2 linked regions of the Medicago truncatula genome follow. The protein of the gene in region 2 binds, or shares a complex with, the protein of the main gene of each other region. Links are inferred from orthologs where the notes say so. Each region holds a gene or a part of one and is shown on either strand. Other genes may lie near its edges.

What was found.
Region 1: 50S ribosomal protein L5, chloroplastic (region 2) and 50S ribosomal protein L21, chloroplastic share a complex: the UniProt entries of both Arabidopsis thaliana proteins name them as parts of the 50S ribosomal subunit. The link is inferred for Medicago truncatula from reciprocal best matches to the Arabidopsis thaliana genes AT4G01310 and RPL21C.

What each region holds. Positions count from the first base shown.
Region 1 is NC_053042.1:47,104,911-47,112,654, forward strand, and holds 50S ribosomal protein L21, chloroplastic, read right to left. Parts: upstream 2,948-7,744; 5' UTR 2,884-2,947; coding exon 2,593-2,883; intron 2,037-2,592; coding exon 1,956-2,036; intron 1,367-1,955; coding exon 1,265-1,366; intron 1,174-1,264; coding exon 1,099-1,173; intron 834-1,098; coding exon 744-833; 3' UTR 523-743; downstream 1-522. UniProt on the Arabidopsis thaliana protein: This protein binds to 23S ribosomal RNA in the presence of protein L20.
Region 2 is NC_053048.1:36,603,932-36,611,610, forward strand, and holds 50S ribosomal protein L5, chloroplastic, read right to left. Parts: upstream 3,001-7,679; 5' UTR 2,891-3,000; coding exon 2,633-2,890; intron 1,750-2,632; coding exon 1,549-1,749; intron 621-1,548; coding exon 273-620; 3' UTR 39-272; downstream 1-38. Other genes in the region: uncharacterized protein, read left to right, coding at 6,809-6,870, 6,976-7,074, 7,234-7,436, 7,629-7,679. UniProt on the Arabidopsis thaliana protein: Binds 5S rRNA, forms part of the central protuberance of the 50S subunit.

The DNA of each region.
Region 1 (7,744 bases), on a different chromosome or scaffold from region 2:
GTTGTTGCTTAGACACAAACATAAATAAAACTCATCTAGACACACTCACATGAATTTAAAAAGTATGAAAGAGAAAATAATTAAATAATATGTATTTTTAAAATAATTAAATGATATGTATTTTATGAGTGTGTGCCTAAATAACTTCAATTTGGGTTTGTGACTATACAAGAATTTCTCCTACATCAGATGTTAAATAAAAATGTTCACGACAGTGAACATTTAGTAGATAAAAATATACTTAACCTTAGATTTAAGTAAATTCAATATCTCAACGTATTTTAGAATTAAAGATGAAAACGTAATTGCTTGTACTCTTCTTTTTTTGGAAACTCGGGTATCCGGTCCAAGGAGTGACTATAATTTGCTTGTGTACTTAAAAAACAAAATACTTCAAAATATATGATATGCTTGCTCCTCCGATTAGATGAAAGGGACCAATAAAAAATGATTAACATTTTCAAATTAAATTTGTTCCAACAAATCTTTCTATGCAAGGTAAAGAGAACTGAAAAAGTAACATTCAAAGTAAACAGGCTCTTCATAGTAGGAATTGGAGTGATAATTGGAGACTGGAAAATAGCAATGTATTTGGAAACAAAAGATTACAATGACATACAATAGCTACATAAACATTCAAACAACTCCATCCATGATAAAAGCAAAACTAACCATGGCAAATTGATTGCTAATAGTTATTATAGATGAAAGAAGATACAATACTCGCATAGCGCACAAAATGTTCATGATGATTCCAAATTTATATCGTCCATGGTAACTTTTGGGTAGTCCTCATAGCCCATAATGCTATTTATCCGGATGCGTGTATTTGGCTGTCACAAGTTGAAAACCAAATCAAGCATCAAATTCTGGTAAACTAAATATTCATAAAAAATGACATGGAAGCCTCATGTGCCTACAGGCATACATTCATCATATATACAACATGGATTCCCATATTTCTAAGCTCCATTCAGAAAGTTTAAGGGTAAGATAATTCGCTCATAAGAATTAATTCCCAAGCCACATATAGACATTTCAATCGCGCAAAGTTTTGATAAATAATTGGATTGCAAAGTAAAAGGATAGCTAATATACCTGTCTGTGTCCAATAGTTCTACGATACTTCTTCTTTCTTTTGTATTTGAATACAATTACTTTGTTGTCTAAACCCTGCATTAAAACAAAATGGTTAAGGTAGGAGATGTATTTTACTTTTAGCTTTTCCTAACAGGAGAACAAAAGCAGAGAGAATGAAGAGTACCTGCTCTTCCACTGTCGCATATACCACAGCATTTGTTACCACTGGTTTGCCAATGTAGCAGGATGTATCTGTTCCAACCAGTAAAACCTTATGCAGGGCGATCTACAATTCCAAGAGTTAAAATTAATGTACAGTGCATAAAAAAACGCTTTGAAAATAACAGCAGATGTTCAGATAATGGAAAAGGAAGAAATCGCTTCAAAGGGAAAAGTGACAAATTATAATCATTGGTTTGAAAACCAATGGTTATAATTTCAATCATTCATTTCTCACATCATATGGTTAAAATACCTCTTTAGGCCTAGTTTCTTATAACTTACTTTTGCATTGAACCCTTTTATATTATATTTATAGGTCCTACCCATAGTTCAGGTCATTAATGATAGTCAATTTCACGAAACCAGAAAGGGAGCAGGAAGCACTCGCATCATACCTAGGCCGACCATAGTTTTAAATATATTGTATGAGCAAGCTAACATTACTTAATAAATGGTAGCAATTTTAGAGGCAATGTTTAGGGTGCAAAGCAAATGGTGATAATAGGTTGGTGATGTTAACAAAGGTTGGTGATGTTAACAATCACATATAGAACAAAATAATGAGTTTAACGAATACTGCATAACTAAAAGACCAAAAATGAATAAGTGGAACATGTCAAATGGCAGAATTTAAGAACAAACAAGTTGTATACCTTGTCGTTAACGTTGGCACCTTTGAGCCTCTGAACAACAAGCCAGCGGCCAGGATGAACAATATATTGGCGCCCACCAATCTAAACAAAACAACACAAGAAAATATTAAAAAGCAAAAGAACAGAACATAAAATTTGAGACAGAGACCCCAAAACAATAAACAGCAAATACCTATTTACCAACCCAACAAACTGGAAGTAGTCCAACAATACAAAAAACAGTTTAAACATCCAAACTAACTTTTTTATTAACTAATTTATTGAGCTTAGATGATTAATAAATTCAATTAAGGACGAATCATTCGGGAGAACCCAAGTTCAAAAATATAGGTTGGAACAATCATTGGCCAGACTTGACTTACTATTCGGCCAAACTCCAGGGGTCCTTTACTAACCATTCCTAATCTTTAATGTGCGATACTTCAATCACAAATAATTTCAGATGAATGACTAAACATATAAAATAGATAAAACCATGGTCATAGAGCCAAAAATATGCAAACTCAATTGCGTCGCCTTCACCCATAGAGCAATCTAGATTAAAAATTATACATAAAGCATGCAACTTTTGAACAATTGAAACAAAAGGGTCACCCAATCCACACTCAACATTAAAAAAAATCCTCTAAAAACTCACCATTACAACAGCAAAAAGACCCTTCTCCCATGAAGGAGACTGAACAATTTGAGAGGATTCAGACTCCGATACTTGAGAATCAGAATCAACAGGCGCGACAGAAGATTCAGTGGATTTGGGAGCGGGTAACAGAGGCAAGCGTTGTGAGAAAGTGGATTGGAAAGAGAGGTTGTGAGAAGGAAAACGAGAAGAGAAAGGTTGATGAGAAATAGAGAAATGAGGTTTTATTGAGCAATGGGTTGTGAAAGAAGAACAGAGAGTTGAAAGTGTAGAAGCAGTTGCAGAAGCCATTTTGAAGAAGAGAGAACTTCCTCTCTCTCTCTCTCAACTCTATCCTTTTATGTTCTTCCTTCATCCTATCCATTTATTTACTCTTACAAACCCAATTTTATTATTATTTTATTCATTTTTATTACTCCTTCCGTCCTACGATGACACCCATTTGAAGATGGGTATTATTGAACTCCGTATTTTTGTACGAATATATGGCAAAAGTTATGGTGCATAAGTTATTTCCTTATGCACCGTGCATAAACACATCACAACTATCAGATTTCTTTTATTTTGAACAAAAATGGTTTTGGCTCACTTTGGGGGTGTAGGAAACAATTATGTTGGGATTTATGCACGGTGCATAAGGATTTCCTTATGCACCATAACCACTCCCCGAATATATATATATATATATATATATATATATATATATATATATATATATATATATATGATATCATTGAATTCGTCTTAATGAATATTTTTAAAATATCAAATTTTTATAATTTTTTCTAAAAGATTAGTGAAGTTATTTAAAATTAAAATTATGTATTGGTATGTGTGACAAGGTCAACTGTGTCACTTAACATGAGACAAGAAGAGTATAATACAAAATACTCCTTGTATCCCTTAATACTTGACACAGTTGACCTTATTACGCATATCAATGCATAATTTTGAGTTTAAATATCTTGAATAATATATTAGAAAAAATTATAAAAATTTGATATTTTGAAAATACTCATCGAGGCAAATCTAACGACATCTTATATGATATTATTTATCTTTGTATATTAATAGAAAAATATGGTCAAAATAAGTTAGGTCAAAATTACACATCTGCAAATGAGTCATCTAATGCGGGACGGAGGGAGTATATATTTGGATTAAATATGTTTGGAAAAATGTTAACCGGTGTCCCGGGGCGCACTGGTTAAGATATCAAATGTACTACGTTTGTCCCTATATATAATAAGACTCTTTTGCTAAAACTACGGGAATTAAGAAAGTGTGTATTTGTATTAATGTTGTTTGTAATTACTATTTGTCATACCCTAAAGTTTTACCAATTAATTTTTTCCGCTTTTTAAAATAGTCAATTTGTTTTCATTCGTATTTTAGTCAGGTAAACTTTCTATTCATATTCTTAGCTCATCAAAATATTTCTATTCATATTTTAAGTAGTTAACGTTGTTATTCGTATTTTGGTTGGTTAAAATATTTTTCATTCGTTTTTTCAATCAGTTAAATATGCTCATCGTTATTAATTTGTAATTTTCAGTGGTCAAAACCTTTTTAGTCACGATTTAAGTAGTGAAAATCTCTTATTCGTATTTTTGAGTAGTTAAAAGTTTTGTTCGCATTTTGTACGTTTAAAAACCACTTTGTTCGTTTTTTAGGCATTTAAAGTTTTATCCGTACCGGTATGTAATTAAAATCTTTTTGCGCGTATTCGCATATAAATGAATTTCCCCTTTTCCGTTTTAGTTAAATTTCTTTTTCCGCTTGTACGATAAACATCTAAAAGTTGGTCCGTATTTTCTAGTCGTCTCGATCAAAATTTCGGTAGGGAGGTTACTTTAAAGTACCATATTTAGTTTCGAAGGAACAGTTTTTTATTTTTATTTTTATCTTTTTATTTTATCAATTTTATTATTATTTCTTTTTATTTTTTTATTTTGTTAACCTTCCAAAAAGAAGAGTCACGAGTGACTTTCTTCTTCTTCTTTTTATTTTATTTTGCTTTTATTTTATTAGTTTTATTTCTTTAAGTCTAAGTCCATGTGTCCTGTTCTTATTGGTCCTGAGGGTTTCTTTTTGCCCAAGTTTCAGTAGAGGGCATTTTCGTCATTGGTATGTATCAGTCTCAAACCCTAGTTTTTTACAATAAAAAGTCTGCACAATGTCAAACGCGTCAGAGATTTCAGCAGCATTAATTATAAACACCAAAAATTTCTCTTTCTTCTCTTTTCCAGATCAAACTGCAAAAAATCATGAAGTTCATCGTGAACATCATCATGAACATATGAACCTAGATTTTTCCAGCAAGCACAAATAATCACAAAAATCCATAGATTTGAACCGGATTCCCCAACAACCAACTCGAATCATCATATAACCACCAAGATCGTACCATTTTTCGAGCAAGAACAACATCACCGATTCTCAAATCGTTTCAAAACGACAACAATTTTGGTATTACAACAACACAACGAATCTTGATCTAATGTAAGCTTCACGTGAAGGAATAGAAGAAGAAGGCACTTGAAGTTTTCCGAAGACTTTTATCTCCAGATCTTAACCGATCCAAAGAGGTAACTGATTCTCCTCTTTCGTTCTCTTTCTTCATTCGTTTCTTTTTTTTTTTTTTTGAAAAAAATAAAAGATGTAGATCTAGACATGCTTGCTGTTCATTTTCGAAAACTAAATTTGAAATTGGTAACAAGAAAGAAAAGGATGTCTAGATCCGTCGTTTTTTTTTGAAAAAAGTATGATTTTTTTTTTTTGAGATTTCAAATACAGATCTATAACATGTTGTTGCGCGCCGCCCTGTTGGGCCGGCAAACCACTGCGCCGGAGCGGCGAAGCTCGCCGGAGAAGATGTAGATTCATCTTCCTCCTTCCGTTTTCCAGAAAAAGTTTTTAGAGAGAAGTGAGAGAGAATCTCTCTAAGTTTAGAATGATAAATGTTTTTGTGTTGTTTCCTTGTTGTCTCTCCCTTTATATACTCCCTCTGTTTCCTACACGCGCGTATATGTTCTATGGTGATCCCTCGCGCTGTGAACCATCAGATCTGGATCGTTCTAAAATCTGATGGCTACTGTGTGTTCCATCCGTGTTTGTCTGTCTGCGGTCTACTGTGTGCCTGCTGTTTAAACCGTCAGATCTTTGATCTGACAGTCACTGTGCTTCTTGTGTTGTTTCTCTACTTTATGCTGTTTTTTAACCCTTGGATCTTTGATCCAGTGACTGTGATGAGTCTTTCCTGTGATTGGATCTGGATCCTCTGATTAATCAGACGGTCTAGATTTGTCCAGTCTGAGCCCACTGTTTTTAAAATTCACTATTGTTTTCCTATTGTCACCACTGTTTTCACTTTTTGCACCTCTTTTGTTTAAAAAATTTTCTTCAAAGTTTCCAAAAAAAATATTGTGATTTTTTTTAATTGTTATTTACTCTTTTTATGGTTTTATTTTATATCTGCATTTTATTTAGAATCATTTCATGCATATTTTAATTTCTTGTCATTAATTTTTAGTATGTATTTAGGAATTGATATAATTTAATTTGTGCACTTTATTTTTTTTTTTTGTTTTTGTCGTTTATTTTCTCTTGAGGCTTTAGCATGTATATAGGTCCCTTGTAAATATCCATATGAGAATATGTACCGACACATGCACCGACACTTGACATTTATTTCTTGTTACGTTACGCCGTTACGTTAGTTTTCACCGTTAGTTTAAAAAAATCAAATATGCAAAACTTCAGAAATATTTTCTTAATAAACCTTGGTTGGTAACCCAAGTGTTTTTTTCCTTTTACTTTCTTAATCAAATGCTTAATTGACTTAATATTCATATTAGACTTGATTTTCTTGTAATTAAAATTTGACCAACCTCATCTTATTTTTCTCTCATGCCTTGAGGCCTCTAATCTCTTCTTAAAATCTTTTTTTACAAAATTGTTAAAATCAATCCAACCCACCAAAAAGAAATTTTTTAGGTGAACTACATTGGTTTTGATCCCTTTTCTTTAAGGGTATATAGGCAAAGGAGTTAATCCTTCAAAATCAAATAAAAATAACCAAAAATATACTTCTTCTCCCTCCATTCTTTCACTTAGATTTTTTTAGGTAATAATTTTCAAATAAGCAAATCAATTTAGCACAAGATAATTTAGGTAAGAGGTTCCTATGAAATACCATAGACGCCTAGGGTGCTAGCACCTTCCCTTCGCGTAACCAACCCCCGAATCCAAAGTCTTAAGGGTTTTTACTCATTTTTTTCCCTTCCCACGAATAAAAATCGAGAGTTCAAAGATTAACGATTCAAATCAATTAATGGTTTGATATCCGAAAATCACGAGCACACTATTGTTTTTACAATTTTATCCTTAAGAAAGAGAGTTAGTTTATGTTTTCCATATGCAATTTTTTGCTGATTGAAGAAAAAGATGTATAATAAATAGGGGCAGGTATGTAAATAAATAACTAATGTAGTTGGAAATAGCAAATGAATCTTATAAAACGGGACCAAAAAAATTCTCAAAAGGGTCTTATAATTAGGGACGGAGGTAGTAGTAAGTATTACATTGAAATTTGCATTGTCAATTCCTCAAAAACATAAAAATGTGTTATTTTCACTTTATAACTTTCTTTTTTTAGTTTTCCTAACTAGTGTCCCGGGGCACTGGTTAACATGACTCATATGTTTATGGTCCTTATAAATATATCAAATTTTCATTTTATTTTCTCTAAAAATTTCTTTCGACATTTACTCGTATAAAATTGTCAATTATCAATTTTGGTCCTTATTTTAAAGTCGTACCATTTTTATTTTTTAATAAAATTGTGTAGAATATTATAAAAATCTCTTTCAAAATAAGTTAAAATTTTTCAACAAAACATAAATTAAATATGAATTTTTAACCACCAAAAATATTAAAATTCATATTTAATTTATGTTTCGTTAAAAAATTTCTAATATTTTTTAATAAAGATTCTTATAATATTTTAAACTTTTTTGCAAAAATTTATTCAATAATATGAATTCTACATATGAGTTTACTTAAAAATAGAGACCACACATGACATCAAGTGGTAGTTTTTCATCTATTATATTTAGCATTCTTGCAGCTCTTGATGTGGAAGATCGTTCAC
Region 2 (7,679 bases):
AATGAAGAGAAATGAACCTAAAATATTAATAGTCCAACTAGCCAAATAATTTAGAAAACAATAGAAATCAGAAAGCAAGCAAGATCTGCATGATCATCATACAACCATATAATAACGTGATTGATGGCAACATGAAAACATCCACATCTTTTACAAAAAGAATCAATAATATTACATTACATCTGAACGAAACAAGGGGTACAACACAATCTATCTTCTGATTACAACCTTAGTTCATTATTATCTCTGATCTTGCATGAATAAAAATGAGTTTACTTCTTTGCTCTGTCTCCTCTACCCTTTGATTTTGGATCAAAATGATGAGATTTCAACTTCTTTTTGCGAACTATTTGGGTAACTTCAACTCCCTCTCTGAAGGGCATACCCATGAGAGCCAATAATTTTTGTCCTTCTTGATCAGTTTTAGCAGTTGTTGAGATGCAGATATCCATTCCTCTAGGTGTACCAATACCAGATTTCAGCTCTGGGAACACAGTTTGGTCCTTAATACCAATGTTGTAATTTCCATTCCCGTCAAAGCTGCTGATATTCACACCTTGAAAATCTCTTGTCCTAGGAAGTCCTAAGTTGATAACACGGTCTAGGAATGAGTACATTATCTGTCAAAATATCAACCAATAGGTATTAGATTTTGGGTTCAGCTATATAAAAACAAAGAAAGTTGCAAAGCATGTATAATATATTTGTATGGTTTTAAAATACAGGCCGTGACCGCGGGTGTGGACGCAAGATCAAGGTTTTTCATGTGATGTCTCCACAACCATGTTTGACCTCAATTTTCTACAGTCTCAAAGATCACAAAGAAACCACAGCCGCTAACAGATATTTAAAATCTTGTGTTAGAATATGAGCCTAAAGTAATGCAAAATACTATAATTTGAAGAAGTTCAAAATGAAACCAGATTCACATACATTGCCATGTATAATCTTTTTTTTTTTGGCAACATGGAAACTCTATCAATGTCTCATTCAGTAAATTCCTGGTATGCACTCTTTTTAAACACAAATTGTTGAAAAACACATACACAGAAGAAAAAAATCCAAACTAACTAAACTTTTGACTTCTGAAGTACCGTTCTCATGATAAAAGAGAATAATTTTACACGCTTTGTTTTGGTATGTGGAAAATAATGCTTCGTATGTAAACATATTCTATTACAAAAATAATATTTGATTACTGGAATGCATATATTATGTCAACAAAGAATATTCCCAACTCCAAAAACTTTACATGTGATCCAAAGATGCATTATACTAGACAAGTTAACAAACAGTAGCCACATGTCTCGGAGTGGTGTCCTTGAAGCACCTCAGCGCTTATCAGAGTTCATTACACCAATGCATCTAACTATACCAGCAAATTAACTAGAATCTAACAATATCATTATTCATGATACCGACATTGTTCTAAATACAAAATAGCATCAAAAATGGGAAAATGTCAAGCAATTAAACTAAATAATGATCTCATGTTTACAAAATATATTCACTAGGCAAGGCAATATCAATTGAATACGAAGTACTCACTTTTCCTCTGAGTGTCACAGCAATCCCAAGTGGTTGACCTTCCCTGATCTTGAAGGTGGCAACGGAATTCCTCGCCCGAGTCTTAACAGGTCTCTGCCCAGTGATCAGTGCTAGATCAAGTATTGCTGCATCCAAACCTTTTGCATTTTGTGCAGCTTCTCCAATACCACAGTTTACCACAATCTTCTTAACTTTAGGCACCTGAAAAGAGGGAAAAACAATATTCAGCATTGCAAAATTTGATAGATAAAATAATCTTAGAGTAAATACTCAAGTTGGTACTCGAAATTAAAGGGTTCTACTAATGTTCTATCAATTTAGTCTTCATATTATTAATATTCTTAAATGATCTTTAGAATTGCAATATGTTGAACAAATCCATCCCTCTCTATAGACATGTTATCAAACGTATCTCTGACCTTATTCACTTAATTTCAAATTCATCCCCGATTTATCAACTTAATGTCATTCTAGTCCCTACAAATACCAACGGAGAGAAAAAATTGATTAAACTTTGCATTTTCAAAAATTCATTTTGGAATATCTATAATATGAGGGACTTAATTGATACAGTTAAAATTGATTCTAGAGGTGTAGAATCAATTCTGACATGTTTTGCTTTCGCCTGCCAAATTGATTCTACTTAAAGAGAGGATTCGTGGCTTTTAATTCTAGAATTGATTACACACAGACTTATATAGTTCAACTCACTTACACGAATCTATCCAAACACAAATCACTTTACCTTCAACCCATTTTAGTCAAAATCAATCACTCAAAACCAAGTCTTGTCAACACAGAACCAAACATACACTTAATGCCAATCAACGGAGGGACACATTTGATTAAAATTTGCATTTTCAAATATCATTTTGGAATATCCATAATAATGTGAGGGACTAAATTGATACATGCAGTTATAATTTCATTCTAAATCCAAATATCTAAAAAAAACCATCACACCAAAACCAAAAAAGACTCAAACTTTAACCCACAAACCCAACAAAAACACAAAATCAAACAATTTAAACAAATACCCATTACAAAAAAAAAAAAAAAAGGTCCAAATTTCAGAAAAACCAACCTGATGAATATTAGTGTAAGAGAATTCTTCCATAAGCAAAGGAACAATTTTGTCATTGTAAGTTGTTTTGAGTCTATAAACAGTCTCTGCTTCAGATTTCTCAACCAAAACAGCACCAGAAGCATCAGCTTTCACAGACACCACTCTGTTGTTTCCATGACATAACAACGAAGAGGAAGAAAATTGAGTTGGTAAAGCTCGAAATTGAGAGAGAAAGGAAGAGGCAGAAGAGTGTAGAAGAGAAGGGGTTGTAGCCATTGTTGTGGATTGAGCAATGCTCGCTACGAGAGGGATATGGATAGCGTTGGTTGGTTAAAGTACTGTGTTACAAAGTGCCCTTGTGTTTGAGGGTAAATTTTTTGGCAAAGTGAGTGGGACAAGAATGGATAAGGGGTTGAAAATAAAACTGTAAATGCTCAAAAGGAAGAAAGAAAAAAAAATTGCTTGGAATTTGGAACCAACAAAAACCTTAGAAATCAAAACTATAAAAAATGTATTTTTATAGATAAATGATAGCATATATTTTCAATAAAGTAACTTATTTCAGGACAGAGGTAATATTTTAAGATAGTACATCTCTTTGTGATGAGATAGAAAGGATGATGAACTCCTTTCATTAGGGATTTAGAAAGAATGGGTGGTGTGACATTAATTGGTTGTGATGGGATAAGCTCACTCTTCACAAAAGTTTAGGAGGTCTAGGCTTCCAGAACGTATAAGCTTTTAACTTTTCTATTTTTGGTAAGCAAAGTTAAAAACTCTTATCCGAGTCAACCTCTTTACCATCAAGGATCTTGGAAGCTAAATATTTTTCGAGAAGGGATTTTTTGGATGCCAACCTAGGTCATAATCCAAGTTATACAAGGAGCAATATATGGAGTACAAAACCTTTACTTACCTTGGGCCATAGATGGACGATTAGTGATGATTCTCAAATTAATGTGTGGAGTATGCCTTGGATTCACAACCTTCCTACTCGCAAATCGATTAGCTTGCAATTAGTGCACCATGAGGATGTTACCGTTAATTATTTGTTGAATCCGGGTGAAATTCTTCGGACATTCCTTTGGTACAGTCAATGTTCAACCCTTCAGATGTTGCATCAATCCTTTCCATGTCTTCCTTCACTTGTGAATATGTTGTCAAGCTCATATGGAAGGCTACTACTGATGGTTCATACACACGTTAAACCCGCTTATCGCATATTTTTCGAACTTATCACCGCTACCTTTACTACTACAGGTGAAAATTGTTGGAACTCTATATGGAAAGTGTAAATTCCACCGCGTGTCTGTGCCTTTCTATGGTGTTCAACACAACATTGCTTGCCCACTCGAGCAAACCTCATTTTCCGTGGAATTCCTTGTGAAGACTCATGTGTATCATGCGATCAATTGACAGAAAGTCAAATGCACATTTTCTTTGTTTGTCTAAAAGCGATCAGTTGTTAGGAGTTTATCGATGTCCACCACATCATCCAAGATTTACTCCTTAATTTCAACAACTTTGCATTTATGTTATTTGATTTAATTGAGAGGTTGTCTCCACATCAGAAAGCTCATGTTGTAATTACCCTTTGGAGCTTGTGGAAAGGTCGTAATGTTTAGCTTTAGGAATCCATGGATAACTCTCTCTTTATATATAAACACTAGTGCAAAGGGCACACTAAATGAATGGAGTTGTATGCAAAAAACAAAGGCACCGATACACAATACAAATTATGAGTTTAGGGTTGAAAATTCAAAGTTGAGGAAATTACTGAATCGTGACTAAGTGACTTAGTGGTAGAACCCACTATCTATTTTATGTGTCTATCTCTCTCCAAATTGTGTATTCCAATATAGTAACAAAATTATCAATGATCGACAAACATATATGAATAATTCCTTAAAAAAAACATGAATGAATAAAATGAGTTATAATCATCTTTCATTTCACATATAATTAGTTGTCCTATTATATATCTGAATTGTCATGTAGTTTTTATTTTATTTTTAGAGAGAATAGTTTTATATAGTTCTAAATAGTGAGTACTTATAATGACTTTTAAAATAATGGTAAGGAATTTGAAGAAATAAGCAAACTTTAACTAGTCGGTTCTAATTTTTTAAGAGACAAACTCCGACTTCTTTGTAAGTTTTATTTCTCCATCACTCAAGAGAGGGAGGTGGTTTTGGGTTATTTTTTGGCCTAAAAATCACCCTTATGAATCTTTTTTTCTTCCTTATCTTAATCTAAATAAGTGGTTTTTACATAGATTTCATTTTTTCTTTTTGTGTTTTTCTCGTGATTTCGTTGTCTCAATGCGGCGTTGTGTTGTTTGTCGTCTTGTGCGGTATTGCTTGATTTTTTGTCTTTGTGGTGTTCGATTGATTCTTAGTGAAAGATCGACATCAATCAGTTACAAATTCAATATGATTTGGATGTCAACATTAGTGATATAGAGACATGAGTATTTCATATTTTATCATATTATTTGTAGGTATTTTTTCATTGTACGTAATCAACTTGAATGTTGTGAGTTTGTTCATAGATTTATCATTTACGTTTTTAACGATGTGAAATATGTAGTTGCATTTGACGTACTTTGTTAATTTGAATGAATACATATCATTTTGTTATAAAAAAGTGACTTTCGCAATGTCACACCATGCTTATGCACTCAAGCATATTTTCCTCAATTTAGCAACTTTTATAAAACTCAATTCTTTTATTTTTTTTTCCTCAACTTTGAATTTGATGATACAGTAATTTATTTAAGTTATTTCAACCATTACTTTGGTATCCACACTACTACATCACGATTCCTCCGATGAAGAAAGAGAAAAAAATAAAAAAATGTTCATCATTCTATGAAACACGTAAATACCTCAATTGGAGATGCTTTAAGTGATTAATTCTGAGTAAAAAAGAGAATAACGATTAATTTTTATATATCCAATATAAAGAGAATATCAAATAGTTTTTCTCCTAAAAAAAATATTTAAATAAATTTATTAATCTAACGCCTACACAAATATGACCACTATATTAATAAGAAAAATCAAAAGAGTTGAAAGTATTATCCGAATTAAATGATGATAATTAAATCATTAAAGATACATACACGAAATAAAATATAATCGAACATTATAACGTGTATGTAAATAGAAGATGTTTCAATTCAAAATAAAGACGATCTTATATTCAAAAGAATTTTATATATAAAGATATCAATTGCGTTTGAACTCAAAACCTAATAAGAAAAACTTAAAATTTATTTTTTAAAAAGAAACTTAAAATGTAGTAATTGTTATCTTCTTACTGTTAGATCAAAATTAAGAATTAAGATTTAGATAAATACGAATTTTTAATCTAATCTAACTTACAAATTATTTAAAACCATAGGTTACATTGCTACTTGCTCTAGATAATAATAAGTCCATAATAGCAACAATCTCTCTCTACTTTCTCTCTCTTCAAATCCCTTCTCGCTCACTCCCTCGTCCTCAATCCCGATCCATCTCTGCAAAATCACCCCCAAATTCTCGATTTCACGCTTTTCCCTTCATTGATTCTCTCTTTAACCTTCGATCCGCATCGTTAATCTTTACAATTTCAAAACCCTAGTTTTCTTTCCTTTTTCAATTTTGTATTTTTATCGCACAAACCCTCAATATTTGTCATCCCTTAGATTTTTCTCGGACCTAAATTTCATGGGTATTCCACAAGTTTTTGAATTGAATCTCTATTTCCTTTGAATCTGTGTTCTAGGACGGTTTTGTGTATATACCAATCTTTACGTTTCATTCGGGAATTTCATTGAAGGAGAGAGTAGTTTTTTCAATTTTTTTGGTGGTGGTTATTGCTAGATTTTCGTAAAGGTTGAAGCTTTAGAGGGTTTTGGATGATGGGTCTTGTTGATTGAGCTGGATCAGTGACTGGGATTGGTTCTAGGTTTTGAAATTTTCATACAAGTGCTTTTAGAATTGAATTATGAATAAGCAGTGATTGTTGGACTTAGAGTTGAAGTTGGTCAAAATTTCAAAATTTGAGCATATGTTATGAATTATATGTTTGATGCTGACTAGGGCTCTTTAAGGATTGCAGTAACACTCGGCATTGTTCATCGATTTGATATATTTGACATTGGTTAACAACTTTGTTTAGCATCAAGTATTGTGTGGAGGGAACGCAATGGATTTTGAAAACGAAGATCAGAGCTTGTTGGATCAAGCAACTGATAGTGGATTGCAAAAGTAACCTTCTATCTTGTTTGATTAGCTTGTTGTATTTATTTTTTACAATGTTTTAATTTGAAATTTGATGCATGTTATAACACCTATTTGTTGGTGGTTGTTCAGGAAGTTGAAAATTTCATACACAAGAGAGTTTTTGCTATCGTTTAGTGGATTGGATATTTGCAAAGAGTTTCCAAGTGGGTTTGATCGGTCACTTTTAAGGTATAGTATGCTATATCGGTGGACCGCTGCATTTAATTTTTCCTTATTATATATATATATATATATATATATATATATATATATATATATATATATATATATATAGTCAATTTATGCTCTTTCACTTATGTGTTATGCCTTTTTTTGTATGGAAAACAGTGAATTTGAAGACGCTTCACTGGATAGACAGAGAAGTACCGGTGCTCTGTCAACACATAGTTTCAGACGTAATGAATACAGTTCATCCCCTCCAACCAGAGGGGATATGAATAACTTTTCGCGGGGAACCCATGGAAAATGGGATTCTCGCTCTTCTGGACGTTCAGATAGAGACGGTGATTCTCAATCAGAATGGGATTCAGGTGTTTACGTTTGACCGACAAAAATACTCGTTTTCTTTTTAATTTTTAAAATACAGTAGATCTAAATGCCTTTACAAATATTTGGATAAACATTGAATTCTTCTGTGCCTGTCTTTTTAATGGGTGTTCGGGTAGCAGTTTATTGCAAGTCAAGGTTTATGTTGATCTATTATTGTCAATGTCAATTTACAGATTCTGGAAAACGTTTTGGCAACCAGCCTCGTAGATCATTGCAAGGTCCTG